4 linked regions of the Drosophila melanogaster genome follow. The main gene of each other region encodes a partner of the protein of the gene in region 3 in a complex. Each region holds a gene or a part of one and is shown on either strand. Other genes may lie near its edges. The genes, in order: fh, Nfs1, IscU and bcn92.

Region 1 (7,721 bases), on a different chromosome or scaffold from region 3:
TGCAGTCAGGTGCGGGATAGCTTTCATTTCGATGAGTGTGCCGGATCAGATTTTTCCGAAGAAGCTCAGCGCGTGATCCGCGAACTCAAACCGGATGAGTCCATCAAGAGCAGCATGAAGAAGAACGTCGACGGAACCGGGGATAGCAACAAGCAGCATGATGATGGAAATATAATTGCCTTGGATGCCATATCCAGTGATGATGAGAGCTTTGGCGGTTCAACAGCTTCGGTTGTCCCGGTGCCAAAGGGGCGACAGAAGAATAATCTGTCGGAAGATGCCGGCGGGCGTAGTAAAAATCAATCGCCACCACCTGCAGGTGGCGTGAACAAAACGCAGCATTTGCCCACGCCCAAGGAGCTGGCCATTCAGGCATCTAAAATTTCCCAGGAGCGCTACAAGTGGGAGAAGTTCCGTTGCATGCTGGAAATACAGCTCAAGCAGCTGCGCAGTGATACAGAGATGTACGAATCAAATCCCGAGAAACATCCCGATTATCCGGATGAGTGGAAACAGTTCTGGAATCGACGCTACAAGCAGCTGCAGGAGGAGAAGAAATGCGATCCGAATCAATACGACTATAAGCCGGAGTGGATTAGCTACTGGAAAGATCGTCGCATCGTACTGTTCGACATTGCGGTGAATAAAATAAAGAAAGATCTCAAAGAGAAGTTCAAGCTGGGCGACGAGGACGAAGAGAAGACCTTGGAGCTAATGGAGCGCTACAAGATCCGTGTGGCCAGTCCGCGTAGAGCGCCTGCCACCACCAATTCCGACAATTGTCGCAAAACGAAGCCGAATTTTCGCAACAATCGTCCGATTGTTGCGACAAGCAAACTACCCGACGCCGTCATCGATATCAGCGATGATGATGTTGATAGTCCTCCATCTCGTAGTCGTCACTCCCACAAACGCCGCTCCATCTCTCGTTCGTTGTCCCCCAAGCGCGGCGGACGTCGTGCCGTGCGTCGCTCACGCAGTCGTTCGCCGCGTCGCAGCTATAATCGAGGATCTACGCGCTCGCGTTCGCGCAGCATGCGACACCGGTCTCGCTCGCCGGCCCACTATCGTGGCCGCGGTCGTGGTCGTGAACCAGCATCCAAAGAGCGCGGCTCGTCGTCCAGGGATTTCGGTGGTCGTCACAGTTTGCAGCGTGAGCGCGAACGCTCTTCCGAGTACTATCACCGCAACGAGGGCTATGCTCGATCATCGCGCGGCTATGAGTCTGTGGAGACGTTCCGCGTGCTGGATTCCCGCGTATATCCCGAGTACAAAGTGACCAAGACGAGCTCGATTTCGCCCACCGCTTCGTCCAACAAGGAGAAGGAGAAGGAGGCATCGGAGCCCATTGAGGAGGGACCACTGACTGTCGTTAGTGTCTTGCGCATGCTGTCCGCCGTCGAGGAGCATCTGGGCAGCCTGGGACCCAAGGCGCTCAATTTGCTTAGCAAGGCACTGGCCATGGAGTTGGTAAAGCCAAATGCAGCTGAAGATTTGCTGCGAAACGAAGACAACTGTGTGTTCCTCGAGACCACAAAGGAGAAGCTTAAGGGCATTCTCATTGCCGAGGTACTGGACGATCCGCAAAAGGTGCGCGTGATCAAGAAACTAATCACGAACATAGCCGAAATCATCTATCAGGCGACCTTCAAAGGTAAGTCCACCACCAAACCCGCTCAATCCGTATCCGTCTCTCTCGCTCTTTTTCGCGGTCGCGGTTAGAAATCAGGAGGTAAGTAAACCAAACAAATCAAATCAAAAAAAGGGTTACCCATCGGAACAATCGTTCGTTTTTCGCGCGTTTTCAACGGCTTTTTATGCAAAGTTGCAGAGTTTATTGTGAGTTTTGTGCCATTCGGTGGAATACCTTTAGATTCTTCATTCGAAATATTTCTATTCTCCTTTTTCGAAAGGAACCTTTTTTATGTGCTGGTGATAAAGAAATATATACATATGTACATTAGATACTCCCCACTTTAGTCTACTAAACTCTGCGGTTAAACATTTAGTTACGTTTTAAGTTTAGCACCTTATGAAATAAAGAATCTTTGACTTTGGCTGTTGTATGAATTGGGATCACAATCTCATTTCACATTTCTTCTTTCTCACTAAAACATAAACGAAATCTTCTGAGCGAGTATTTTTGAAATAATACAAAATAGCGCTGTGTTTTATTACCATTTTAAACAATATTATAAGTATACATATATATATATAAAGCGTGTTCTGAATTGCTGGTCTTGTCTCTGCAATTCGTAGGATTTTTCGAATTTAAGAAACCTATTTTTAAGACCTTTACTTTGGGTTCAAAAAGGGTTAAATTGATATTAAAAAGACCTGCTTGCAATGAGAAACATAAATGGTCATAAGGTCTTCCTTCTATGTTGTATTTATGATAATATAGTAATTATATCGTATATTTGGATAGACTCTTTGGTCGAATCGCTGGTGATATCGTTCCTAATCGTTTTTCGGTAAGCTTTCCCTTATTTTTGCTGGGTGTGTGAATCAAGTGTAAAGAAACCAACCGTGAGCTGTCCAATCGCCATCCACACCATCCATAAGTATAAATGTAATTTGCGTAGCTTCGTGCGATAACGATCCTCCATCTGCCGGGATCTGAAACAGAAACACACTCTCACCTGTTAATCCTAACTGATTGATTTCTTTGTGTTGTTCCCTCCCCAAACCACCCGTAACCGGATGATCTCTAGGTACCAACGATGCCGTCGATGTCAAGGTTAAGGCAAATGCCAATCCGGCGCCCATACAGCTGCCCTTCGATCGCAATTTGGTGGCGCCCAAATTGGCCAATGCTTTGGTACTCAACGGCTACAATAATGTGTCCACCGGCGATATGAACAACTTGCTACACATGCTAACGCTGCTGATGAAGACGGACAAACAGCGGCGCCAGCTGGACAACAACAACGGCCTGAAATTCGAGGAGATAAAGGTAAAGCTCGGACTGCAAAATAATCCGTCGCCCGATGACATGGGCATCGATCTGGACGAGCTGATGAAGGAGGTGGAGCATCAGCTGCACAAGGAGTCCGTCGATATTGTGAATAAACCTACGGGAGCACCGGCCAAGGTACAAGCCGCCGATACAGTCGGTGGCAGCACTGGCTTGGAATCGCTAACAGATTCAGATCTCCAGACCCTACTCCAGAACTTTAAGTTTTTGTCGAACGAGGAGCAGGTTCATCTCATTGGCCATCTGCGCAAGTTGGAGGTACAGGATCCGTCGCGCGTCGATCGTCTGCGCAAGTATGTGAATCTGGTGGAGCTCCGAGGCGATGGCGAGTCCTGCAGTGATTTCCTGGCGCGCGTGGTGAAAATTGGTGGGGCTAGCAAGGCGAAACCGGCTACCAAGTTCAAGGCTTCGGTTATGGGTGGTAGAACCTCCTCCGCCATGGCCGCCAGCTCCGCCAGTGCCACGGCTCCGAAAGTGGGTCACTCCATGCTGAGCGCTCAGCGCCCCAATTTGGATCGTGATATGTCCAGTATGCCCATCAATAAGCAGAGACGCGGCCGGAACACGCCCAGTATCATGCTCGATGACGATGACGAGGAAGATGATGATTACAACTTTGATGATTTGGTGATGAAGGCCTGCGATTCGAATGGAAGTGCTAGTGCTGGTGGTGGTGGTGGTGTCGTTGGTGCTGGTGTACACAATAAGCCAGGAGTGCCGCCCATTATAGGCGTTGAATCATCGCCAAATGCGCTCACTTTCAAGCCAGCAGCAGCGACCAAGATTTCGCTAAAAGACACCGAGAACATCATAGCCAATCTAATGGGCACTTTAAGCAAGAATGGCACTTCTGGAGGTTCACCCGTGGGTGGCAATCGCAACTATATGATGAACCAGCAGCATGGAGCGCCAAATGCGCAGAATGCACCGAATTTGGGTCAGAATCCAGGCCAAAATCTTGGCCAAAAGCAGCCCGGAGCGGGCTATTCCAATGCGGGCTATCCAGGGCAACAGCAGCAGCAGCAGCAGCAGCAGCAGCATGGCCGCAACTTTGGCCAGGAGGCACAGCCACTGATGAGCGGCTTGAGCGGCGGACCGAATGCCAATCACTATCCAAATCAGCAGGGCTACGGCGGCTATCATCCGTTTGCGGGCAATGGCGTGCAGCAGAACTACGGCGGCATGGTGCCACCAGGTCCAGGTGGCTACGTGGGTCCGCCCCCTAATCCGTGGGCCAGCAATGTGCCGCCACAGCCGCCCTTCAACCAGATGCCCCAGAACTTTATGGGTGCCCAGCAGCAGCAGCAGCAGCAGCAGCCGCACTTTAACAACATGTTCGGTGGACGTCACTAGAGTGTCGTAGACTTAGATATCCATACTATTAACGTTATGCAATTTAAACGTAATGTAGAAACGAGAATAACGCCCTTTGAAGTGCCCGTGTATCTGCTAGCTGGCAAGTGATTTTTATTATTTTTTTTTTTACCATACATGTGTGCTGCTGCCAAAAAAAAGAAAAGAAAATAATCACTACCTTCATTTGTTTATAAAACACCGAACAACAATAGAATTCAGAAAACATAAATCTGAAGAGCACGTGAATAAACATACACAATAATTCCGGAAATCAACTTTAATCGACTTTCGTTTGGAATTATTAGCTGGGGGAGCTTTGAGTTCTGAATTCTGTGTATTGAAATAAAAATAAACGAAATGGAACGTACAAGTGACAAATAATAAAATAAAATAAAATATGTATAGCTACATATGATGTTCTTCAATGGTGATTTGATTATTATTATTTGATTTATACATTAAACAACTGATTTTTAAGTTTATTCCTCTCAAAAACAACAAATTTAAACTTCGAAACCAAAACTAATCGTACATAAATGAATAAGCGAATGCAAAGCATTTATACCAGAAGCTAAGCTTCACAGCTCCAGGGAAGTATAAGTATATACCTTTGCTCATCCGCAGCAGCAGCAGTTCCATGTATATCGAGTGACCACTGTGCCAACAGATGAAGAACAATAAATATATCAAAATCGAACGTTTCAACCGACTTTTTATGGAGGAGAATTTAAACTAATCACGGAATTAACTACAGTAGGGCAGGCGTAGGAAGTCCACGGACTGTGACTTCAGTATGCCGGGTATCTCCTGCTGCAACAGTTCGTGCAGCGACTGACCACTGTGCTTGTAGATCCATCTGCCCGCCGCCACAGTGCCGACGAAATCGTATCGCTTGGGACCGCTGGTGGGCGAACTGAGCCAGATCTGCTTGTTGGGCGTCTGCCGGTTGATCACATAGGTGCCGTGTTGTCCTCCCAGGTTCACGGTTAGCACGCCATCCTGTGGAAGCGGAAACCCCGCGAGGATTAGCAGGTCAATGGAATGATGTAATAGCCGAATGTCACCTACGCTGTAAGCCACATCCGTGCCCTGCAGCTCGGAGGCGTTCTCCGTCAGCTCCTCGAAGTAGTCGCACAGTGCGTCCAGGGTGTCGGAGCACACACGCTCGTAGGTGGCGCCGTCCAATGTGGATTCCGTCTCAATTTGACTGCTAAACAATCGCCGGTTGGCAGTGAATTCCTCGCATTGAATAGCAACTGCGGCTATCGCTGGTGTGCTGGGCAGGATCACTTGGCTGGCGTGTGCTTGGGGCTTTGACCACCTGCCCATGGTGGCCAAGCATGCCCGACCAACGATCGAACGGACCATCAAACGACCGGCAAACATTTTTTAGTTGTTTACGATTTGTTTATATTTTACAAATCCCAGTTGCGGGGCTGCCAACTTAATGGAAAATGATTTGCCGTTGGTATTTTCTAGATTCTAGTGTGGTATAATTTTTGATTTCTATAAAGCTGAATAAAAATGAGAAGTTACAGATTTTTTTTATTAGTAGCAGCAATTCAGCTAAAGTGTTCTGCTAGTTTTAGGTAACTAAAATTTTGTATATTCTCTAGCAGTTACTATTTCCTTATCATATATATTCCGCTATATATACCAATTCCCGGCTTATATGATTTTTCTTAGAATCAGATACGGCCACACCTCCACCAACGCCGACAGAAAATGGCGTCTGTCTGAAAATTGTTATTTCTCTTGGAAAATCCATACAAATTTGACCAGCGAATTGCACAAAGATGGCCCTGCCAAGCAACTACAAGCAGATAGCCGTTGGCGGCCAGGGATCGGCCACACCACTCCAGGGCGGCGGCGGTGGCTCCGGCGGCGGCAGCCGGTCGCGTTCATCCGGCGGCGGAGGTGGTGGCGATCGCAACAAGGATCAGACGCCCATCTTCACGCACAGCAACTATGGGAATCCGGCATTCACGCCACAGAAGGTAACCAAGTCGTCGAGCAGCAAGAACCAGAACGAATCAAGGCTACCCAAGCCACCAAAGCCGCCGGAGAAGCCCATTTTGCCCTACATGCGGTATTCGAAACGCGTCTGGGATAGCGTCAAGGCGAAGCATCCAGAGCTGAAGCTGTGGGAGCTGGGTAAGAAGATCGGTGCCATGTGGAAGTTGCTGCCCGAGGATGAGAAGACGGAGTTCATTGACGAATACGAGGCGGAGAAGCTGGAGTACGAGAAATCGCTAAAGGCCTACCACCAGACGCCCGCCTATCAGGCCTACATGTCGGCCAAGAGCAAGGTGAAGACCGACGTGGATATGCATGAGACACCGTCACGCGGTGGCGGCAGTAAGTCGCAGCATGAGCGACGCATCGACATTCAGCCGGCGGAGGACGAGGATGACCAGGACGAAGGGTATACGACCAAGCACTTGGCCTACGCCCGCTATCTGCACAACCATCGCCTGATTAACGAGATATTCTCGGAGGCCGTTGTACCAGATGTGCGTTCAGTGGTGACCACCACGCGGATGCAGGTGCTCAAGCGGCAGGTCAGCTCGTTGACGATGCACCAGACCAAACTTGAGGCGGAACTGCAGCAGATGGAGGAGAAGTTCGAGGCCAAGAAGCAGCGCATGGTGGAGTCCAGCGAAGCCTTCCAGGAGGAGCTAAAGCGCCACTGCAAGCCGGCGGTCGACGAGGAAACTTTCCAGAAGATGGTGCTTCGCATGTACGAGGACATCAAGCGCGATCGCCAGCGATTGGATGAACCGAATGCGAATGCGAATAGCGCAGCGAATCCTGCTGCAGCTGCCGCTACAGCTGCCGCCGCTCCAGTGACGAGGAGCGAGGAGGCAGTGAAGCCGCCAACGCAGCCAGGTCAGCCCGCTGCCACACCCGCTGGCCAAGAGCCGGCGTCGGCGGTACCAGCGCCAGCAGCTCCGCCCAAGGAGACACCGCCGGCTGTGAAGCCCGCTACACTCAATCCCACACCGAGTTCAACGCCTACGCCGGCGCCAGCGGTGCACGTGCACGAAACTGCCAGCAAAACGGATCCCGAGCCCATGGACATTGAGCCACCGCCGAAGCCATCGGTTCCGCCGCCACCCATCAAGCCAGAGAAGCTGGAGATGGCCGCTGCCCTGCCTCCGCAGTCAACGCTAGTCGAGCCACCCAAAACGGAACCCGCCAAAGTGGTGGCCCAGCCCGGCAAGGTGCCCACACCGGTGCCGACACCCACACCGCCGCCTGAGGTGGCTCCAGCGGCCGGAGCAGCTACTGCAGCGACCACAACAACGACGACGACACCAACGCCACCGCCGGTGCCACAACAGGTGCCACTGCCGCAGCAACAGGGCGGGCCAGCTCCACCGCCCGG
Region 2 (8,004 bases), on a different chromosome or scaffold from region 3:
CCACCATCCGACAGACTTCCTTCTCCAAAGACGGTTCCATTTTAGTTTGCGTGTGCGACGACAGCACCGTGTGGCGATGGGATCGCGTCAATTAGGATGAGTGTTTCTAGGCTAAAAGAATTTTCCTTATCCTTCTAAATCCGATACCATATTTATGTAACCATAGTTATTTTCAGTGTAATGTTTACCTTCAATATTAAGTATGTTCTTATGCGTAGCATTTATATACAATACTCATTGTATTGACAATTTATGTTAAATTATGTTAAATTTTTTAACATTAACCAAGATATTTATTCTATTCTATTACTTTTTTAATGATCAAATAGCTTCGCAAATATTATCATCTTATGTTGTGTGAATGGCGTGGGCTCTATCTTTAATGTTTATATTTTAACTAACTAACTTGTACACAATAAAAACTGTGAACACTAAAGATTAAAACCAATATTTTTTTAAAGGGTTCTTCAAAAATAACGGTTTTTATCTCAAATGTATCTGGTATTTTCAGCCGTTCTTTGAACGGTCACTCGAATCAGCTGCATTCATTTGTTTATATAGCAATTCGCAAACAGTTGGATTTTCCTGTTTAGTTGTTATTCCCAATACTAAAATGCTTACCGACAGAGTTCTGGCCACCAAGGAGGCGCTAGTGGTGGCTCTGGGCGACAACTGGGAGCGTTACCGGGCCAACATGAAGAATTGGTTTCGGAGCCGTTGGACTAAGGAGGAATTCGATGCGGAGTCGCGGAAAATCCTAACACCTGACAAACTGCACCTGCACAATCAGTTCCTGCTCGCCCTGCTCAACAAGATCGACGCCTTTGCTCCCCTGGAGAATCCTCCGGCCGTCCAGACCAGCAGCAGTAGTGGCAACCGAAGCAAACGGCGCAAAAGAAGTTGCCGCACCTTCGCCGAACGCCTTAATTTTGAGCTCAGCGACGTCCTGGACTTTGTAGCCGAGGACAACATGCAAATCATTCGTCCGCCAACCACGATCGGTATTCCGTCGGACCAGCAACAGCAACAGCTTCAGTCGCAGCGGTACTGCGCGCAGGAACTTTTCCTGCCCGACGCGGGATTCATTATGGGACGATTTCTGATCGGTGCCTGGGAAATCGGACTTGTCTCCGTGGACGACAATGTCGCCGAGTACGTTGCCATGGCCGTGCAAGTTCTGCTCAAGGATCTACTATCGGCAATCATCAAGAAACGAAAGCACTACAAGACCAGCGGCGAGGGAAACTTTTACTACGATGTAGGTGCTCCGTTGCGTGATCCTTCGCTGCGCAACACCGTCACCCGGCAGAAGGTCGACGACACGCCGCTGGAACTGGACAAGGAACTGAATACGGCCAACTTTATGCGGCGACAGAACGACGATGTGACCTTCCTCTCCGCCTGCGAAGAAGTGTAAGCTCCTGAATAATAATGAGATTTTCATGTGAAACACAAACTTAGGTTTTGTTTCTTTCAGCCAACCCACCGAACGCACAGTAATCACCCTCAAGGACTGCCAACTGGCCTTACGGGATCGCAACCTGATAGGCTCGCATGCCGTCTACTCCATAAACATGGAACGACTCAATATGATGATGCATTAGCTTATAAGTTCTAATTATTTTATTATATCAGCTTCTGTAAAAATATATACATTATACGCTAGTGTACCATTAAGTGTTTGGTTCAGCAAAGATTCCGTGGAGGCGGTTTGAATGGCAAGGCACCTGGTAGAAATTGATCCGCCTTGAATGCTTCGATTTCCTGCTCGTTGAGATCCTCCATGCGACTGTAAACTGAGGACTGGATTTCGTTGGTCGGTTGAGCTTGCTGCTGCTGCTGCTGCTGCATCATTTGCTGTTGCTGTTGCATTTGAAATTGTTGTTGCTGCTGCATTTGTTGCTATTGCATCTGCTGCTGCTGATGCATTTGTTGCTGTTGCATCTGTTGCTGCTGCTGCATCTGTTGCTGCTGCTGCATCTGTTGTTGATTAGGGAATGCAGATGCTGCTGCTTGAGCAAATAATCCGGAGGCAGCTGCCTGCTGCTGCTGTTGTAGTTGCTGAGAAGCCTGAGTAAACATTCCGCCCATATTTTGGCTTGCGGCTTGGCCAAAGATTCCCGTCGACTGCGGTTGCTGCTGCTGCTGTTGGAAACCACCGAAAGGATTAGGATTCACTGGCTGAGCTTGCACCTGAACCTGCGCCTGGGCGAAAATGTTGCCCCCTTGGAAAGCTTGTGCAGCAGGCTGCAGCTGTTGCTGCTGTGGCTGTCCAAAGACACTTTGTGCACCTGTTGCCGCAGCTCCTACACCAAAAATGCTATTCCTTGCATTGGCATTGCTAATCGTTCCGCCGAAAATGCTATTGGTGTTGCTGGCTTGGCTTGTGGCATTCCCAAATATATTTCCCGCACTCAGCGTGGGCTTTCCAAAAATGGATGCAGATGTATTGGCGGCAGCCGGAGCTGCTGCAGCGAAGGGATTACTGGACTGCTGAGGGGCAGCCGACACAGTGCCGCCCTCCGGCGTCTCGTGGATCTTGATCATCATTTCCAGGACCTGCGGCGACATCTGAAGCATGGTCTTCATCTTGTTGTTAGCCTCTAGGACCTCACGGTTAAACTGTTGGCTGAACTGTTCGAATTGGTTTTGTCGTTTGGCCTCGTAACACATGAACCGCACCTCCTCGAAGGATTGGTCCTGAATAAAGTTGGGGAAATTCGCTTTGTCCTTAAAGGGTCCGTAGGCGGACAAAGGCCACATCTTGCCATTGAGGCTGGATTCCATGTCGGCTTTGAGATATTGCCTAAAATAATTAAGTTATTAGTTCATCTGCATAGTTTTAATATCAATGTACTCACTTAACATCGAAATGCTCGTTGTTGCACTTTGCGCCATAGCGGCAGGAGCCTTGTTGAAAGAACCGGCAGACAACCATATTTAAATTTGATTTTAATTTTTGCCTATTTCCTATATTTATTATTTCAAAACTGCTTCAACTTTTGTACTTTTGTTTATAATTGTCTTACTTTGCGTATTGAGTATTCTTTGAGTATTTTATGGCTCACTGAGAAAAATATACCGTGCCTATGCGCGCAATTTCGTGAATTCGTAACTTAAGTTCGCTGAATGATTAAGATAATTTTGTAAGCAAACATATTTAAGATGAAAACTGGTTTTTGAAAATATAGTTCCTTGTAAATTATACATTAAGTGCGAATATATCTGAAAAATATTGGTTTCTTGCACAGATGCTATTCATTTTTCATATGTTCAAAGAAATTCAGAAACTTGCTTCTGCATAATCGAATCAGATAATTTTAAAGTGAATTCCGGAGTCCTTTGGTATATCTCGTGCCGCCGAATACGGTCCCACTGATTGTGAAATCCGTGATAACGAATTTTAACACCAGAATTTCTAGGATTCCATCAGAATGCAAAAAGTGCTGGGACGCATCCAGGCGCAGGTCCTCCGCTCCCGGGCGACGAATGCATTAGCCAATGTGGTTAGACACGAGGCCACCTCCTCCAGGACAGCGGCTAAACCAGCCGCCACATCCAAAGGTAAGCGGATCCTCCAAGATGCACAGTTACCGCTTACCAAAATCGTATTCGTTCGTAGAATTCCGGGAGAGACAGGTGCGATTCAACATAAAGAACGAACAGACCGAGGGTAGACCACTTTACCTGGATGCCCAGGCCACCACTCCAATGGACCCACGTGTATTGGACGCTATGCTCCCCTATCTGACCAATTTCTACGGAAATCCCCACTCCCGTACCCACGCCTACGGTTGGGAAACAGAGTCCGCTGTAGAAAAGGCCCGCGAGCAGGTGGCCACCCTGATTGGCGCCGATCCCAAGGAGATCATCTTCACATCCGGCGCCACCGAGTCGAATAATATCGCAGTAAAGGGTGTTGCCCGTTTCTACGGCACTAAGAAGCGACACGTGATCACCACCCAGACGGAGCACAAGTGCGTGCTGGACTCTTGTCGTGCTTTAGAGAACGAGGGCTTTAAAGTCACGTACCTGCCAGTGCTGGCCAACGGACTCATCGACCTCCAGCAACTGGAGGAAACCATCACATCGGAGACCTCGCTGGTGTCCATTATGACGGTGAATAACGAAATCGGCGTACGGCAACCCGTCGATGAGATTGGCAAACTGTGCCGGTCTCGCCGAGTATTCTTTCACACGGATGCCGCTCAGGCGGTGGGAAAGGTCCCGCTGGACGTTAACGCCATGAACATTGACCTGATGTCTATATCCGGCCACAAAATCTACGGCCCAAAGGGTGTAGGCGCCCTGTATGTCCGACGAAGGCCGAGGGTTCGCCTCGAGCCCATCCAAAGTGGCGGCGGCCAGGAGCGTGGCCTAAGGAGCGGAACGGTTCCAGCCCCGCTCGCCGTGGGATTGGGAGCTGCTGCGGAACTTTCTTTGCGTGAGATGGACTACGACAAGAAATGGGTGGACTTTCTATCCAATCGCCTGCTGGACAGGATTTCAAGTGCCTTGCCGCATGTCATCAGGAATGGTGATGCCAAAGCCACATACAATGGTTGCCTGAATTTGTCGTTTGCCTATGTCGAGGGCGAGTCACTACTGATGGCTCTTAAGGACGTGGCCCTGAGCAGTGGGTCCGCCTGCACCTCCGCCTCCCTGGAGCCCTCCTATGTTCTGCGTGCCATCGGCACCGACGAGGATCTTGCCCACAGCTCCATACGCTTTGGCATCGGGCGCTTTACCACCGTCGAGGAGGTGGACTACACCGCCGATAAGTGCATCAAGCATGTGGAGCGACTGCGCGAGATGTCGCCGCTGTGGGAGATGGTCCAAGAGGGCATCGACCTAAAGACCATCCAATGGTCGCAGCATTAATGTACTAATATTTAAGCCGTTACTGTTACACCACACTTTGAAAGCGAAGGGAAAATAAATTTGTTGGAAGAGTATCTAGGTTTATTTGTACACAAAACCACTTATAACTAAGCTTAGTCCGAACGAATGTGCTTGTGTAAGAGGTGAGGCAAGAGAGACCCCAAAAAGCGAAAACGGCTCAAAGTGCGACGGCCAATGATATGCAAATGATGCAATAATTTGCATTCGCCGCTGGTCAAGGTTCAGTTGGCCTTCTTCTGGGGTGAGCCGCTGGATCCACCGCCCAGGATCTTACGGCGCTGGGCGAACATGTGCAAGTACAACTGCGGGAAGATGGGGATGTAGCCGAGCATGACGATCCACAGGAATCCAAAATACGAGAAGGTGGCGTTCCACTTGTTGGGCATCACCACACTCCACACGCTGTTCTCACGGGCATAGCTCTGGGCCCACCAGAAGCACAGCAGCTCCCCAGTCACGCCGATGGGATACAGGACAATGAATGTGGTGTAGCGCAGGAACACCACAAAATGCGGCACCACCTTGACGATGTTCAGAGCGTAATATCCATATCGGATGATCTCAGTGATGGCCCAGGCCAGCAGGGCGATGGGCAGACCGGGTGAAACCTTTCCAGTAGGCGTGGCCATCACCACGCCGACGACCACCATCATGCGGCTGAACACCTGGAAGCCAGTGACCACCGGGTTCGACTTGACCAATCCAAAAGAAGCATTGAGTATCTCCACGAACGCGGCATTCTGGAAGATGATCACGGCCAGCCGAGTATACTCCCACAACGTCACCTGGGCACGGAACTCCGGACCCTGCAATATGTAGTAGTTGACCAGCTGCCACAGGATGTAGCTCCATCCGACCACCTGGCCGGCGTTGTACGCAAACAGGTACAATTTAGTGACCGCCGACGGCTCCTTGGAAGCGCCTGGTTTGCTGGACTTGGACACTGCCTTTGCTGACATGTTGGAGCGGAGATGTGTGAACTTTCACCTTGCCGATCGCCGCTGGTTAACTAATCAGTCGTCACAGTCTTATCGCCCTGTAGCGCGATAATTCCGAAGTCGCTTTCACCTGATTGGGTCAGTATGACCGCACGGCGACCACACAAAAAATACCAAAAAAAAGGGCTAAGAAATATATATAACTATTAAATACCCTTCCATATAATATCTTTTATAAATAAAAACGCTTTGATATCGAAAATTGTTCATTTAATCATTTGTAAATTAATAATCATTTAATTAAAATTTCTTGATATAAAATTTCATTCGCCTTTATTTTCTCTGAATTTTGTTTTTTGCTATTCACAATTTTTCCAACGAGTATAAATAAAAGATGAACTTCATTCTTTCAAAGTCAACGGGTACAAAGTGCATAGCCTTATAACCTTTCCTCTATTCACAGATCGCAAATCTAAGTTAACAATGCCACAACCATTAGGCATGCTTAGCAATTAAGTCGTTTTTATGTGCAAAGTTATTTCACTTAAGTTAAGTTAAGTCTCAAAACGTTAAAATTCTTTGAAAACTATGATTTTAAATCCTATCAACTTACTTTAAAGCTGAATTACCGTTTCTTATGTTAGTACAAATTAAAGTAAATAAACTAAATAATAACACAATTTATATTTCTTCGAAAATATTCTTAGTATCATTAGTAAAACTATAATAATTTTTAATTATAGTAAAAATTAATACCTATCATATATATTCTTTCTTTAATGTATAGTAAAGCATGGTTAAGAACAATGGATAATGGGTGGTTATGAGCCGACATATAAAAATTTATCGCTAACGACAAGGTGGAGAAATCAATTTTTTTGATAAGAACTAGCCCATTGTACGCTTTGCATTTCTAACCACATTTCGCTTAAAGCAGCCCACTGTAGGCGGCAGCTGACGTTTCCCAGCGAACGACGGCTGGTTTGCGCGATGAGCCAGCAAGGCAGCTAAACTTTCTGGTCGCCTGGTGGAAACCGAACCGAAAACCGAACGTGTCTGAAAAAGTCCGCCACCACCACGGACCGGTGCACGTCCCCACCTGCCAAGTCGCGTGTGTGTGGTGTTGCCTGTGGACCGACCCCAGCTCTCCATTAATGGGCAGCCGGAGCGAATCGCTTGTCGCCGTTGTCGAAATTCGCAGCTCGTTCGCAATCGGAATTGGAACTTTTGTTCCGAAAGCAAAAGGCCGCTAGGCCGGACGGCACAACACGGCACGTGCTGCTGCACACGATTTGTTTTATGTGGGCGGAGGCCCGCAACCACGCCTACCCTGTGAATTAATTTGCTGCTGCTTCTGCTGCTGCTGGTGCTGCCCATTTAACGCAAATTACTAACTACTCCCCTAAAAAAGCCGACGCCTTATCAGCAGCAGCAATAGCCAGCATGCCCGCCCGCCTGGCTTATCAGCAGCGGCGATTGCTATACGGGACTCGTTCCGTACGACGGGCGGAGCGGCAATTCACCCAGAGCAGCGCCCACAAAGGCCGATTGGACAAAATTGGAAAAACGAGAACCCCGCCAAAAGTGAATTCCCTCTTTTTCACCAGGCGCCCAGAGCGGGCAGACCAACGAAATGCCGTCAAATGCCAGCAAAACGGCATTCGGCAGAGTGCGAGCGAGACGACGCTAGTGTCGCAATGGCAGGGGTTTTCAATGTGACTGGTCGCCGGTGTGTGCGTGTGTGTGTGTGTGCCGGCAATGAAATTGCCAAAGCTGACAAATTGCGGCAGTTTAAGGCAAAAGCTAGTGATAATCGAAACTCTTTAAGCCGAGCTAACAAATTCATCGCTCTCTTTCGCTCCAAAGTGCACGTTTACACATTCTTGTTTAAAGCGAAGGGCAATCAAAACAAATTGACTGGTTCGGCGAGCGGCTAACAGAGGGCGCCACCTTGATGGTGAGGGGTTCCATACATATGAATATGTATGTAAAAACCCAGGGCGAAAAAGTCATGAAAACCCATTGCCTCTATACACGCCCACAAATGCGAGCCCTGCGCGCCCCTCTTGCCATCTCGTTCTCGTTTCCACTGTGCAACATGCCCAGCAATTGGAGAAGAAAAACAAAAACAAAAGCAAGAAAGGCGGGAAAAAATAGGTAAATA
Region 3 (7,867 bases):
ACACACACGCGCATACATACACACGCAGCGATTACTAACACAATTGCGACTTACTTTTTTGCCGTAGACCTCACACCAACGAGTGTGCTTGCGTGCGTGTGTGTGTCGCAGTTTTCTCAGCCACTTCGTTATACAGATTTCGATATTTCGACAAGCGTTATATACAAAATGGGTTGAGTTTGGGTTAAAAGTTGCCTTGATTTGGATGTTTCACTTTAAAATGTTGCGGAAATTGGTTTGTTTTGCGTTTTTTTTTTTGCTCTTTTCTTCGGATTTTATTTGGGGTTATATGTGGATGTGTTCGCAGCTGTGTATATATATGTGTGTGTGTGTGTTTTGTAAAATCACTTTCAAAATGGCGACGGGCTGGCTTCGTATTTATATATTTATATATATATATATAGATGTAATTCCGCTTAAAGCTTTCTCTTCACTTACAGACAAAGGCTCAAAAAAATCACACTTTCAACTGATTCTGATTCGGATTTTGTTAAACTCTTATGTACACCACCGTCTATTGCGCAGCGTTTATTTCGAATTTGATTTCCGTTATTTGCGCTCGCCAAGTACTCCACTTTAGTGTGTGCTCTTCTGTAGCCTCACTCGTTGTACTTCGACGCGTATTAAAATATTAAACTTTACACAAATATTTGATTTATGTCACTTAACTTAGAACATTTACAATATGCGTTACATATATATTTATTTTTGTAGCAGAAATTTTAATCGATATCTTTATCTTCTTCGCTTATGCTTGTTCTTTGCGCATCGGTACGCTTGCCTCGAATTTTCCACCATGACTCACACAAGCGCACGACTGCGCGGACTTTTATATGCCCGCAGCGGCATTGCCAAGCCTAAAAAATAAATTTCCCTCTTTATGTATACATCGAAATATGTTTAGGCAACTCTGGGTTCGAGACACGGGTGAATCAGTGGATACTCAAGCCGGAAAAGCTGGAGGCCTGTTCAGACATGCGGCGACCGCGGTTAGTAAATTAGTAATTATTTTTTATGACCAACCTATTGTTTTTACTCAAAATAGTCAATGTTGTGGATTCGGGACTTGCACGTGAAACAAATGTTCAATATTGGTAAAACAAATTAAATCTACCTGTTTTTGATTACTACCTACCTACTAGAGTTGTTACATCTGCCGTTATAAGAAAACAAAGTACGCGGCAATTTGAAATTGAATATAATACGACAGCTGGCATTTTGGAATGGATTTCGGCCTAAATCCGGATTATAGTTATCTTATGTAAATAAATATTCAATTTGTTTTAGTTTGGCGCATAAGCGGTTGTTTTTGTATATCATTATATGAATAGTTAATAAAAATTGTGCATGTAAATTCAATAGATTAAGTGCACGTAAAATGAGAGCATTACGTTTGCAATTAAAAATTAAGCCATTAAACACGAAATTGAATCAATTAAAGAATGTCATCTTCTCCATATTCGGATTACTGTCTTAATTTTAATGGTTGAAGCTCAAATTGAATTCAACGCCCTTGCTATTTTTGTGTTTTTGGCAAATAAATTAGTGTTACACAATCTTTTTAAAAGAGAAGATAAATGTGATATTACATTTTATTGAACAGGATCAGTTGCACATATCTTTTGAAATCAGCCGAAGTAGCTGAATAACACAAGTAATTACCTTATACAAATTCAATGCATCAAGAAATCTGACACAATGGGGTATAGTGGGATGCCCCGTCAAGAGGATAAATAAAATAAAATAGGATGATGAGAACCGCTTACAACCGGCGACGCGTGTCACTCAAAACCCGCCCATGCTCAGATCCAGCCTGATCAAACCCATTATCTATCCAAATTGCTGCGACAGCATCGTCATTATCATCTCGTTGACCCACCATTGTTATCCCCCGTTGGGTTACCCATATAAACAAGTGCACTTTATGTTTACTTGCTTGTTTTTAATACACACCGATCCGCGATTGTGTGGGTTGAGGTGAGAGATACGATTCCTATCACACTTACTTATATGTGTCGCCGGTTTGCCCATTTATACATATATTCTGCGGCTGTGTCTGTGCTGCTTTTCTATTGTTCATGAGTCCGGCTTTGTATATAAAGGTGATCAATCTCGCAGTCTAAAATTCAGTTCACTTCAAACGCGACTCGAAGCCGGTTTTTGCGAAAGTCAAATCTTTTTTATTCTAGTTGTGATTTCGTGGAAATTTCGATTATTATTCAAAATGCGTTTCGCTCTGTTTGCTTTTCTAGGTACATAAAAACAACTCTTTCCATTAGCATCTATAAAAAATACAAAGGGTATAGTTAGTTTAGGGATCGAAAATAAACAAAATTATAAATACAATTTTGGATCAAACGAAGCAATTTGTTGTATGATTGGAAAGTGCAAAAATAATTGGCTATCCATTAAGACCAAAAGCCCAAATGAATGATCTCACGGACAGAATTATATTCCGATCTACAAAAATATAATTTGCTCCGAACGGTGATGCAATTAAATTAAATAAAGTACTAATACATATTTATCTAGTTTTCATTTAAACAAACATAATTGAGCGGGCTTAAGAATTTTAACATGACCAAACTTATTTAGCACTGTGCTTGCTGGCATTCGTCCTGGCTACTCCGGCCAAGGACACCAAGAAGCCGGCCACCAACAGTTGCCAGCACAACTGCGGTGAAGTCTACGAGCCCGTTTGTGCCAAGGCCAAAAACAGCAGCAAGGAGCGCCTCCTCACCTTTGGCAGCCCGTGCGTCATGGCCAACTACAACTGCCAGCATGCCGACGATCGTAAGAGATCCTCTACAATATCCTTACAGAATTAAATATGATTTAATCCTTTTGCAGCATTCGAGCAGAAGTCCAAGGGCGAGTGCGGCGGTGGAGTGAGCGTTCGCCTGTCCTAGAAGTCCAATTTCAACACTTTTGACGATTAAACATCTTTCACTGATTGTGCAATAATATATTCATGTATTTTTTATTCCAACGGGAACGCTTTATTTGTTTTCGACACAAGCTTGTATTTCGCATAACAGAACGGAAAATTTAATTAGCTCTCGGGACTACTTAGAATTCCCCTACAAAACACACACGTGCATATGCATTCATACAAGATCAGTTCCAGCTATCCTTTAGTATCAATGACAGACGATTCCTAAACTTCTATGCACTTATCAGCAGTCACGCGGCCAATCTGCAATCAAAATCAAAGCATTAATCAGTTGGTATGATTATTATTGTTATTATTTCAGTAAAAGTGTGTTAAGAGCAACTAGCCAATAGGCAATAAACGAGGATTATTTTGCATTGTCATACATATTATTAAAAAATATGTATGTAGTTCCTCTTAACCACCATTCACTGTATCCATACCATTTGACTCACCACTCACAGAGCTCTAGCGAACAATAATCGCATACTACGACCTAATGCCAAGTAATATATAGTATATGGTATTGTATTGTATGGTAGAGTACTTATAGTTGTTTTTTTTTTAGTAGTTGTTCAGAGAAACGCTCCACTACATTCACAGATTCCGTTCCGCCTCTCAGTTGGCCACCTTCTTCTGCTGCTTGACCTTGTAGTCAGCCAGGGCCGCCTTGATGGCATCCTCGGCCAGCATGGAGCAATGCAGCTTGACGGGCGGCAGACGCAGCTCCTTGGCGATGTCCGTATTCTTCAGCTTTCCGGCCTCGTCGATGGACTTGCCCTTCACCCACTCGGTGGCCAGGGAGCTGCTGGCAATGGCCGATCCACAGCCGAAGGTCTTGAACTTGGCGTCCACTATCTTGCCGTTCTCGTCCACCTTGATCTGCAGTTTCATCACATCGCCGCAGGCTGGTGCTCCGACCAAGCCGGTGCCCACAGTGACATCCTTCTTGTCCAAAGATCCCACGTTGCGCGGGTTTTCGTAGTGCTCAACGACCTGTGGGTGAAAATAGGTAGGTGTGTTAGTCACCAGGGGGTTGTGCTATCGCGCTTATCACTTTGCGTGCCGCCTGAAACGCTGTCTTTCAGAACGACAACAAAGTCGTTTCTTATCTATATTATACAGCTTCTAGATATTACGAAAGAACCTTCCGCGCGGCAATTGCGAGTTCTAACTTACATTTTCATGATACAATGCCACCGGGACACTTTGTACGCGCTTCAGCTGCGATCGCAGCAACCGGGAGGAGTTTCGCACCAGGGACATATTTAAATTAAATAAATCAATTTAATGAAGAATTGTTGTGAAATTCAAAGAGATCGAAAAAACACAGGCAACTGCGTGTTAGAAACAGCTGATGGACAGTGTGCCCGTTTTAAGGCAGATGTGAAAGACCAGCTAACGCCGTTGTCGATATGTTTTCGATTTTTTAAAAGATTTCTTATATTATTATTATTTACTCCTTAAAAACAGTTCAGTATAATAAGTTATTTACTATAAGTAATAAATTGTTTTTATCAATAATGAGCCATAAAAAAGCTTGAATAAAGCACCCTCTTGCATTTAAAATCACACTCTGAGTTGGCAGCTTGCCAGGTATTTTGTAAACTCACTCCTATGGTCACTCCCCAATCACAAAGTTTACTATTGCCCATCCACAAATTCTGCCAACTTCCGATATATTTTTACAGCAGCAGACTATGAGTTTCTGAAACTAGTCCCCTAGGTCAATAATATCCACATCCAGTCATGACCTCTCGCAAGCGCAGTGGCAGCGGCTCCACCAAGCGGCCCAAGGAGAAGGTTCGCCCGGAGCACTGGATTTCACGAGCTCCGCCCTCGAAGATTTGTGCTTTGCTTGACTAATTGGAATTTATTGCAGGTGGTCTATATATATGAGCTGTTGTGCCGGGGCGAGGATCCCAGCAGCGAGAGTCCCGAATTTTGGAACGAGTTCTTCCTGCTGCAGCCGAACTTCGAGGCGCTGGAGAATGAGATTGGCAAACTCAACAACGAGCAGCTGCAGCTGGTGAAACCGAACCTGAACACCCTCTTCCAGAGGTGCATCGAAATGCTTGACACGGGTAGACCAGTTTGACCTATTAATATATACCTCCAGCCACCTATAATCCGTGATTTCCCCCAGAAGATCATCCTAAGCGGCTGTGCAACAGCCTACACACGCTGTGCTCCCTGTTCTACGGGATCTTTAAGAAGTCCAACGCAGAACCAACATTAAACATCCTAAACGAGATCTTCGGCCATGAGAAGATGGACGAATGGCTGAAGCTACTCATGCAGTACTGCAATCGCATCCTCCTGGGCGATGTGCCCGAAAACGCTCGATTTATGTGCCTCAAACTGCTGCAGGTTCTGGTTACGGGCACGGATAACGTCAACCAGAACGCCCTCTTCGAGCATCTAATGATGCACAGCATGTTCGACGCCTTTGTTCGGCTACTCAGTGATCCTACGTTCCGTAGCCAGCATGGACACGACATCGTTATCCTACTTACTATCCTGGTCAACTATCGCAAGCATGAAGCCACTAACCCCTATGTGGTGCAGCTCTCCATACTCGCTGATGAGCTGGCTTTAAATGGGTGAGTCCATTTAGTCAATGTAATGTATGTATGTATATTTCTGGCAACTTATGTGAAAGCAATTGGCTTAAAGAATTTATAATCGAGGGTAATCAAATATTTAAACTGAATCACAAAGTTCTTTTATGTGGCAGCAGTTGGTGACTGACGTCATCAAACAGATAACTTGCCACGAGCTTGCATATCTTATTTCGATAGTAACCCGAACTTTATCTTGATTCCAGCTATGGCCAAATGATATCGCAATCGCTAATTGATTTCTGTCGCCAGTACATTCAGAGCCTTAACAATGTGCAATCCTCTTCCTGGTTTTCGTCGCTGTCGAATATTGTGGGCAACATGTTTGTGTCGGATGAAGGATGCGAACGGGTGCAGCAGATCAAGGCGAATAATGGCCTTCTACTTGCCCTCTACGAGGCAGTGCACCTGAATCGGAACTTCATCACAACTCTGGCTCACACGCAGGCAGAGTCCAGTGCCCCGCCCTCGCCCAGTAACACATTGAGTCTGGCCCAACCTGTGCCGGATCTATCTAATGCACCCATCATTGACATTACGCAGTATCCCACCAATCTGCTGGTGGCCGTATTTCAGTACTGTTCCATCGTGATGCAGGACAATAAGAACGAATCGAGCATTGCTAATCTGAAGCTGTGTTTCCTCATCCTCACCTGCATTTCCGAGGACCAGTACGCCAACTCCATGATGCACGACAGCAATCTTACCTTCAAAGTCATGCTGCATCGGGCGCAGATGCGTCATCGCAAGCTGAATGTGGATCGGGTGGGCAAGTCCCAGCCTTTGGCTGCCACTCTACTGGACCTCCTGGTGGAGTTCATTGTATCGCATTTGATGAAAAAGTTCCCGATGGAGCTGTATCTGCTCTGCATTGGAGTTATCCATCGAATCTTGTGCTATCAAAAGAGATGTAGAGTGCGGCTCAATTATCCGTGGAAGGAACTTTGGTCGGCTCTCATTGGTCTTCTGCGGTTCTTGGTCAACCAAGAACAGACGCTGGTTAAAAAGTGCAACATTTTTCATCTGTCGCTACAGGTGGTGAATATATTTAATCTGTTTATTACGTACGGTGATACTTTCCTGGCCACAACAAATAGCTATGATGAGCTCTACTACGAACTGAACCGCGAGGAGAAGGTATTTACGGAAATACATGCCATGGGTAAGGTTGTTAAGATTCTATCTGTAGAAACAAAATTAATCATTTTCAAATTAGTTCTTCGCTATACAACGATGCCGGACTGCGAATACAAAGACGATGTAATCAAGCTCTTAAACGCTTTGGTAAATATCCTGGCCATTGTTAAGCACTTTCAGAACAAGATCAAGGAATGGCTGGCCGAACAAGGCCTCTCTACGCCCACGGAGGAGCAGATACTCGACGTGGTGCGCAAGAACTACGACCTAACGCTCAAACTGCAGGACTCCCTGGACCAATACGAACGTTACACAGAAACGCCGCTGCACACCAACTTCTTTAAGTTGATGGTTCGCGATGTTGTCAACGATACGCGCAAGCACATCTACGGCTATGTGAAGGAGGCAGTATCTGTTATTCCGGACCAGGAAATTCTCCTCAGTTCCTCTATGACATCCGTTTCGGCCGGTACAGCCACTCCGGCTTCAGCAACAGCAGTGCCAGAAGCAAAAGCGTTGCCTTCTTTTGCTTAGTTTTGTAATTATATTTTAAATATTCAAATCTCTGGATGCGTAAACTCGATGTAATCTATAAGATTTAAAGTGCTTTGCGAGACTTTTATAGCTAAAACAGTGCACTTAAAGCAAAAACATATTCTGTGCAAGTTTTTTACACAAGTATACAAAATATATAAATATTACGTGTATATAAAATCAAACCAGATCACCTCTTACGAAGTCATAAACCATTGGCGACTTATTTAACCATGGGGGTAGAACTCAAGTTTTTTAATATCGATCTGTTAAATGTCGATATTTGTCACTATGTGGAATGTCGTCCACCTCCTTACCTATATAAGATGATTTAGGCAATATGATTATTATTGTTGCTCTTTTATTTATTCCCAAACTTTCCACGTGTGTATAATCTTTAATTCAAAAATGCGTATAAATATTTATAAAGTATGATTTCTTTCTGGTTATACAGGCGTGTGTGTATAGGCTCTAAGGATATCGCTACGATTTATAAATGGTATATATGTTTAACTTTAGCATGCAATACTTGCACGCATTTAACAATTTGAATGCAATTAAAATTGATCATGGGTCGAAGCAATATGCGAATATCTAATAAAATGTCGAATATATCATTTAAAATGCGTTAAATATATGAATA
Region 4 (7,711 bases), on a different chromosome or scaffold from region 3:
CGCACGGTGGCCAAGGTCAAGGAGTTCCTCGCCAATGAGGCTAAGGACACCAAAGTGATTGGAGCCGACTCGCTCGAGGACATGGTCTCCAAGCTGAAGAGCCCCCGGAAGGTCATGCTGCTGGTCAAGGGTGAGTTGCATATCCAAATTCAGCGGCTGGGTAGCGCAGAGCATCGAAAACCCATTGAAACCTGCTGCAAGCGATCGCTGTGTTGGTGACTCAACTTACATGTGTGCGCGCGTGCTTGTGAATTGGTGAAAAAGTCGAAGCAAAGTAATCATGATGACGATTTTTGCGGCTCATATTCCAATGTGCAAAGGGGAACGAGATAGGATAAGCAGGTGGAAGTAGGAAGAGGAGGGAGCGCGAGAAAACGGTGAAGGGGTGGAGTAAACACAAAAAACAACTGTTTAGAGATCATTGAGCTGCGGCCTTAACCACTAAGTCTGGGTTAGGAGTTCTTTTTGTACAAATGATAGGGATGGCATTTCGTAGGTTTTGTATGCGATAGTTTTGACTTGAAAACTAGACAGAATTCAAAGCTCTTTATAGGATTCGAAACTTAAGCATTGTAGCTCTTTTAAAACCGGACTTCTGATAAAAGGTTTATAAATGGATCAGTCCCATTTCGAAAACCGTAACCACAAGTGTGGCGTGAGTTTTGTCTAATCACATAGTTGTGGTAAGCTGCCTCCACTTACCTAAACCATCGAGCGAACCCATCAGGTGATTTCCAGGTCACTCACGCGTTCGTCTACCACTCTCGCGTGTCCGAAACTCTGCTCACCTCTAGATCGGCGTGCCCGGCTTATCTGTTCGTGCGAAAGCAACAACAACGCGGCGCAGAGAGAAATCTTTGACATTCATAATAGGTCACACAAAATGGGCGATTTTCAGGTGGATTTACTCGGATTTGACCAGCCGAAAAACCTACATATTCCTCTTCTGCGAGTTGCCAGGCCAGTGAGTCATTTCGTCTGGAGACTGCTCCTTAGAAGAATACAGTGCGGGTCAATAACATATGTACATAGCTCTGGAGGTTTTTGTGCTGAACATATGTAGATTTGAAAGTTGCGTGACAGGTTGTGCGAATCCCACATTCACAGGGTGGGTGGGAGTAAGGACAAAGGTTATTGATTATCAGTGTAGTTAAGTTATCAAGGATGACGACACAAAAAGCTAGTTGGTCATTGAACAGAGCGAGTCCAACAATCTTGACCGCTAGTGTGCCCCACAAACCACCACCAACGACCGCTAGATAGATAGATCAATGGTAGTATCGCCACGACTCGTTGGCCTTATCTGGGTCCACTGCGCTGGAGAACTGCTCACCCGGCGCTAGGGACGCCTCGCCACCAGGGTGACCTCCAAAACAGTGACTTTCCAAAAGCAACCAACCGACCTTGTCCAATCGCACGCTCTACTTTCTGGCTAAATCGAAGATTTCTTTACGTTAAAAGAACTGGCGCTAGCTAAGAACGCTTTGGAAAATGAGTCTACGATAGTTGAGCTTTTGAGAACCCCGATGAGGAATTCGATCTGCTTTAATCGACTTTACGCTAATCAGATGTAATCTCGATACAATTTCAGCTGGAAGTGCAGTCGACGACTTCATCCAGCAGCTGGTGCCGCTGCTTTCCGCCGGCGATGTGATCATCGATGGTGGCAACTCGGAGTATCAGGACACATCTCGCCGCTGCGACGAGTTAGCCAAACTTGGCCTGCTCTTCGTCGGATCCGGCGTGAGCGGTGGCGAGGAGGGCGCCCGCCACGGACCCTCGCTGATGCCCGGCGGACACGAGGCCGCGTGGCCCCTTATCCAACCCATCTTCCAGGCGATCTGCGCCAAGGCCGACGGTGAACCCTGCTGCGAGTGGGTGGGCGATGGAGGCGCCGGTCACTTCGTCAAGATGGTGCACAACGGCATCGAATACGGTGACATGCAGCTGATCTGCGAGGCGTACCACATCATGCAGAGCCTGGGACTGTCGGCTGACCAGATGGCAGACGAGTTCGGCAAGTGGAACTCGGCCGAACTGGACTCCTTCCTCATTGAAATCACGCGTGATATTCTTAAGTACAAGGACGGCAAAGGTTATCTGCTGGAGCGGATTCGCGATACCGCCGGCCAGAAGGGCACGGGCAAGTGGACGGCAATCGCTGCTCTGCAGTATGGAGTGCCTGTGACGCTAATTGGCGAGGCGGTCTTCTCGCGATGCCTGTCTGCCCTGAAGGACGAGCGCGTCCAGGCCAGCAGCGTGCTGAAGGGACCCTCGACCAAGGCGCAAGTGGCCAACCTCACCAAGTTCCTCGACGACATCAAGCACGCTCTCTACTGCGCCAAGATCGTGTCCTACGCCCAGGGATTCATGCTCATGCGAGAGGCGGCCAGGGAGAACAAGTGGAGACTTAATTACGGCGGCATTGCGCTGATGTGGCGCGGCGGCTGCATCATCCGCAGCGTCTTTCTGGGCAACATTAAGGACGCGTATACGTCGCAGCCGGAGCTGTCTAATCTGCTGCTGGACGACTTCTTCAAGAAGGCCATCGAGCGCGGCCAGGACTCGTGGCGCGAGGTGGTGGCCAATGCCTTCCGCTGGGGCATTCCCGTGCCGGCCCTGTCTACCGCCCTAAGCTTCTACGACGGCTACCGCACGGCCAAGCTGCCAGCCAACTTGCTGCAGGCCCAGAGGGATTACTTCGGCGCCCACACCTATGAGCTGCTGGGCCAGGAGGGTCAGTTCCACCACACGAACTGGACAGGCACCGGCGGCAATGTGTCCGCCAGCACCTACCAGGCGTAGGTTCCACCTGCTCCACTTTCCCGTTCACACATTCCATGTCATTGGCGCCGGTGTCTTAGATGTTTCTTTTTTTTCTGGAGTACTTTAGTACTTATTTATACCATTAATATATATGTATGTATATAGAATTTCATAATTGTTGTTAAACATAACATTAAATTGGTGTTTTTTTGCTAGCAAATGATTTTGATTCCTTAGTTTCATGAATGCAAGTGCCATTTAAAATCAACAATGCGTGTGGTTTGGTGTGTTGTGTTGTGTGTGGGTCGAGTCTTTCGAGTTGTGTCTTCATCTGGAGACGCCTCCTGCTCCTTCTACCGCTCCTTCCCTGCTATTGTACTCTCTTCAGCTAGCGCGTTTTTCGCTCCGTATTTCCCTTAGTCGTCCGAGGGCTTCAGGGTCTTCTTGTTCTCTATAACCAGTTTGTCAGCGGAATACAGGTGGCCGATGATTACCTGTGGACATTCAAAGGTTAATAAACTCAACCGGCTGATAAGCGAAAAAGGGGCAAAATGGTTACTTTCGATTTCTAATAGGATGGTAATTGAGTTTTCCATTCCCCATATTTGCAAAATCAGATATATATGATAAAATCTACTTTAAATATACATTAATATTTTTAATCTTTAAATTGATTGTCTTTGATAAGGGAAGTAGTAGTTGATAGTAGTATTTTTATACCACTAATTATTTGAGTTCCTAACAACTTGGTAAATAAACGACGGCTCTTTTTGGATGCGCTGTGATCTCGAAGACGGAATGCCTTACGTTATCTGGATACTTTCAAGCATTGCTGATAAGGGAGAGGGGTGAAATCCGACGAACCACTCACCTGGCGACGTATCAGCTCCAGATTCTGTTGGCCCTCGGCCATTTGGCGATCGATCTCCGCGAAGTCCCTGGTGCTCCTGTTGGCGCGGAATGTGTCGCGTATTTTTCGGGCAGCGTACATTCTGAAATCCGGAATAGATTGCTCATCACTCGCGGCGGCCTTTCAATTTCACAACACCTACCTGAAGTTGTACGAGGGCAGCTTCTCCGATTCGCGCAGGAGATTCCTGTATAACGTGATCGCCTGGCGACGGGTCGACATCCTGGTCTTGATCCTGGCCGAATGGAACTGAATGGCGGGCGGGCTGGTGGATTAAAGTGCTGTTTAATTGATGAGTGCTTTGTTTTGACCCTGGTTTCTTGTTTCGGTGCGGCAACTGCCAATTGACCGCCTGATGACATAAAAATTACATGCGGAAAGCCGGAAAATACTGACTTTTCCGCTGCAAAATACCAGAAACAGCTGACTGCATTCACTGTGGTGTCACGTGCGTGAGTCTTAGAGATGACACTGCGTCGTGCGGAAATCATCGCAACTGAATAAAAAAACTATTTTTGTGATACTAAATATTATTGCAAAAAGTAAGAAATAAATTGAGTTCATAGTGCAGAAAAATAATTTATTAAGAATCCGAAATATTTAGAGGTAAATATTAAAATAAAAACCAAATTAACCTGCTCCCATTATACAAAATAAGACAACTGCCGCATTTTTTCAATTTTAGTTTTAATTCTGTTTGTTTTTTCCGCAAGAACAATATATTATGTACTCGTTGAAAACACAAAATAAATATATATATTTTGTTCCCGAAATTGTTTCTTTCTTGCACGCGCGCTTGCTTTTTAAATCTGACTTTTGTAGCCTAAAAATGACATTTTTAGTGGTTGTAAACGTACACATATATCCATATACATATATATATTTATTTATCAGTGTTAGTTTTATAAGTAGAGTTTCTTTAGCTTACGTTTAGGCAATAAAATAACTTTATTTCCCACATCTAATCTAGAATTTTCCTCTCTAACTCTCTCTTTACACATGTCTATCGCTCTCGCTCTTTCTGCTGCAGCGTTTTTGCTAAGAGCGCTTGTTTTACAATCAATAAAAAAAAGGTTTAATATATAAAGTATGAATAGGTAAAAAAAAAACACATTCGAAATAAACCTAAGACGCGTCCGATAAAATCGCTGATTAAAGAATATTTACATGGGTGTGTGCTTTCGAGGGTAAGCCGACATTTAGCTGCTAATATTGCTTATGACTATATAACGTACTCATATTAGTGGGGATTTGGATCTTTGTGTTGTTCGGGGTGTCGCTTTCGTTTCGTCAATCTTAATCATTTTCTTTAGTTAAAACGCAGACCATGCTCAGGAATTCGCTATCACTTTGGGTTAATACAAACGCAAAAACAGATCGCATTGTATCCTATCGCTCTTAGCTATATACTTCTATATATATATATATCTATATATATATAGCTGACTGAAACTAGGTGCATTACAGGCTATACACATACATGTAGTGATTGTTATATCAACACATAAACAAATTACATAATCACAAACAACAGAATTTTATTTTGGTGGCAGGCTTTCGGTGTGGTTAACGACAATTGCGATGGCTCTTCGATTCCGATTCAGATCCCAGGTCCGATTACCTGTGGCTGCTGTACGTTTTATAGACCCGCGGCGCCCTCGTCGTTCCTGTGGCCGATGTGGATGAGGGTGCGGAGCCAGAGCCGACCGTGGTCGAGCTTGTAGCAGCATGCGACGCGTCCGCTCCCACGGCCAAGACTTGCGCCGTCGTTTCCAGATTCAGAGGCAGGGGGTTGTCGTGCTCATCCGAGTGCTCGTAGATGTAGTCGCGCTTCTTAAAGTTGTCGATGATGCGCTTCGTGGACTTCATATGCGCCACAAAGGCTGCCTCCAACTATACAAATGGTGGAGAACGTTAACGAGTTAGAAGGTTGTGCAGTTTGATGGATTAAGGGTAAGATGGATTAAGCTATCGATCTGAACTGAAAATGTATGACATATTATGAGACTCACGCTGGATGTAAGGTTCATGAATGTGTGGTACTTCTCCAGCACTCCAATAATCTCCTTAAAGCTATTTCCTCGCAGCTGGCGGCGCACCACCGACTCGTACAACTCGTTGTCCGCTATCAGATTTCCCACCAGGATGGCCGCATAACTTCCCTTTAGCGTGTGCTCCATGTGGTGGCCGGCTCGTTGCACAACTGTCAAAACCGCCCGGCAATTAGCATAGGTCACAGATCATCAAACCGCTAAATACTCACGATTGTTGACTGTCTCCTCCACTTCTTCTTGTTTCTTCTTTCCCTTCTCGTTGCTCTCGAGGAAGGCGTCCGTGTTCTTTTCCACCAATCTGCGGGCGTGAAACATAATATAAAGCAATGCGACAATGTGACTAGAATTGTTAATGTGTCCTACCTAGCCAGCTCCTCGCACTTGTAGAAGTACTCAAGCAGAGCTTGCAGTGCACTCACAGATCCCTGCGCTGGTGGATTATCCGCTACGTACTCTGCCGGAGCGGCAGCTTGCATTAGAGCAGCCCGGTTGGGCACAGTATGCATGCACAAATTGATTAGCAGTGTAAGAACCTGGAGAGGTGGGAATCAGTGTTTGAAATTGGTTACTTGTGAAGCGAAAAGATATAAATCTCACACTCACCAGTATGCTTAGCTCAAAGACACATTGGTCGGGAATGTAGTTGGCCGAGAGCAGCAGCAATCGGAAGCTCGTCTCCACCACATCGCCCCTTTGACCTAGCAGCTCGGCTCCCAACGATGGCTGCGCCTCGTTGAACGTGTGCGTCAGGTTGATCAGTACCTTGAGCACCGGCACCAGCAGCTCGCGCATAGCCACACCCGGATGCTCCTTGTTGCTGCCACCACCATCCGAAGGATGCAGCATTATTTGTCGGCTGCAAAGACGGTACAGTTGGCAAAGCGTCTCCACTGCTTTTCCCTGGCCAGAGGTGAGCATGTAGCGCTGGTTCGTCTCATTGTGCTGCGTCACGTTTTCGAGGACTCGCAGACAACGCGCCACCGTTTGCATGTTATCCAGCAGCGTCGGCTGCCAGTCAATCTCCGTGTCGCAGGCAATCACCGGTCTGCAGAAGTCCGAGATGGTCTTGATAATGTGCTCCAGGCCACCCAGCTTGCGCAGATCCTCTTTAAACCACTCGCCCGCGCGCTTGGATGTTAGCGATAGCAGCGTTTCCATTGCCAGCGTGCCCACAGTCAGAGAATCAACGTTGAGATGCGTTCCCTTGCCCTGCGCCTTGATCTCCTCGCACAACTCGCGCACCTTCTGCTTGTTGCGGTCGTAGCCCGCTCTATCCGGGTGCCCAGTCTCCGTGCTGCCACCCACGCCGTCCGCCTCCAGAAGGTTGATCATCAGCTCCAAGGAGTCGCGATCCAGGTCCATGTTGAGGCCCTCCTGGGAAAGAATGTACATGATGGCCGAGGTGCACAGGCCTAGGCTGAGGTCCTTGTTGGCGTCGGATAATGCCTACAGTTAAATAGTCAGTTAATTAACAAAGAGGTTGATACTTTTCCTAAAACTTTTTTTTTTGTTATTCACTTTGCAAATAATCAATAAACTGTACTGATTTAAAGTGGAAAACATTACCAAGTTGATTAAAGTACAACTGCAATGGTTTAATAGTTTATACAGGCTTTTAATACAGAATAACAAAATAACAACACAGCTTTCAAAACAAACTGGCTATTCTGGGGACAGCTTTGCCGAAAGCTGATATTTTGAATTTGATAAGATTCAATTGCATAATCAAACTATGCAAATACCAAGCGCCCAAAGGCGGTTTGGAGCTCAATATATGTAAGAATTGGGGATCTAACTTACCTTGAAAAATTTGGTGACCACCCCATGGGCACGCACGTGCATCCGGAAGGCGGGCATCATACACTTGGCGGCTAGCTGAAGGGCGGAGAGACACCGTGTTGCCGGGGGATTGTGCGGCTGAAGTGCGTCCAGGATGTACTCGACGTCGTCGTCCATTTCCTGGTACTCGCCGATCTCCTGA

The links.
Region 1: IscU (region 3) and fh share a complex: the UniProt entries of both Drosophila melanogaster proteins name them as parts of the mitochondrial core iron-sulfur cluster (ISC) assembly complex.
Region 2: IscU (region 3) and Nfs1 share a complex: the UniProt entries of both Drosophila melanogaster proteins name them as parts of the mitochondrial core iron-sulfur cluster (ISC) assembly complex.
Region 4: IscU (region 3) and bcn92 share a complex: the UniProt entries of both Drosophila melanogaster proteins name them as parts of the mitochondrial core iron-sulfur cluster (ISC) assembly complex.

What each region holds. Positions count from the first base shown.
Region 1 is NC_004354.4:9,143,294-9,151,014, forward strand, and holds fh (frataxin), read right to left. Parts: upstream 5,779-7,721; 5' UTR 5,720-5,778; coding exon 5,402-5,719; intron 5,333-5,401; coding exon 5,078-5,332; 3' UTR 4,787-5,077; downstream 1-4,786. Other genes in the region: CG7065 (uncharacterized protein), read left to right, coding at 1-1,654, 2,715-4,330; Bap111 (brahma associated protein 111kD), read left to right, coding at 6,130-7,721. UniProt on the Drosophila melanogaster protein: Promotes the biosynthesis of heme as well as the assembly and repair of iron-sulfur clusters by delivering Fe(2+) to proteins involved in these pathways.
Region 2 is NT_033779.5:11,996,291-12,004,294, forward strand, and holds Nfs1 (Nfs1 cysteine desulfurase), read left to right. Parts: upstream 1-3,363; 5' UTR 3,364-3,434; coding exon 3,435-3,564; intron 3,565-3,622; coding exon 3,623-4,881; 3' UTR 4,882-4,954; downstream 4,955-8,004. Other genes in the region: Ada1-1 (transcriptional adaptor 1-1), read left to right, coding at 614-1,413, 1,478-1,604; Hacd1 (3-hydroxyacyl-CoA dehydratase 1), read right to left, coding at 5,124-5,861. UniProt on the Drosophila melanogaster protein: Catalyzes the removal of elemental sulfur from cysteine to produce alanine. It supplies the inorganic sulfur for iron-sulfur (Fe-S) clusters.
Region 3 is NT_033777.3:8,819,874-8,827,740, forward strand, and holds IscU (Iron-sulfur cluster assembly enzyme), read right to left. Parts: upstream 4,305-7,867; 5' UTR 4,199-4,304; coding exon 4,112-4,198; intron 3,929-4,111; coding exon 3,551-3,928; 3' UTR 3,388-3,550; intron 3,197-3,387; 3' UTR 2,976-3,196; downstream 1-2,975. Other genes in the region: CG8369 (uncharacterized protein), read left to right, coding at 2,225-2,252, 2,596-2,793, 2,851-2,909; CG8379 (uncharacterized protein), read left to right, coding at 4,682-4,735, 4,815-5,016, 5,079-5,535, 5,760-6,715, 6,770-7,224. UniProt on the Drosophila melanogaster protein: Scaffold protein for the de novo synthesis of iron-sulfur (Fe-S) clusters within mitochondria, which is required for maturation of both mitochondrial and cytoplasmic [2Fe-2S] and [4Fe-4S] proteins.
Region 4 is NC_004354.4:2,145,584-2,153,294, forward strand, and holds bcn92 (bcn92), read right to left. Parts: upstream 4,065-7,711; 5' UTR 3,899-4,064; coding exon 3,819-3,898; intron 3,759-3,818; coding exon 3,638-3,758; intron 3,261-3,637; coding exon 3,183-3,260; 3' UTR 2,880-3,182; downstream 1-2,879. Other genes in the region: Pgd (phosphogluconate dehydrogenase), read left to right, coding at 1-130, 1,592-2,805; wapl (wings apart-like), read right to left, coding at 5,294-5,569, 5,689-5,879, 5,940-6,028, 6,094-6,263, 6,334-7,176, 7,531-7,711. UniProt on the Drosophila melanogaster protein: Stabilizing factor of the core iron-sulfur cluster (ISC) assembly complex that regulates the stability and cysteine desulfurase activity of Nfs1 and participates in the [2Fe-2S] clusters assembly on the scaffolding protein IscU.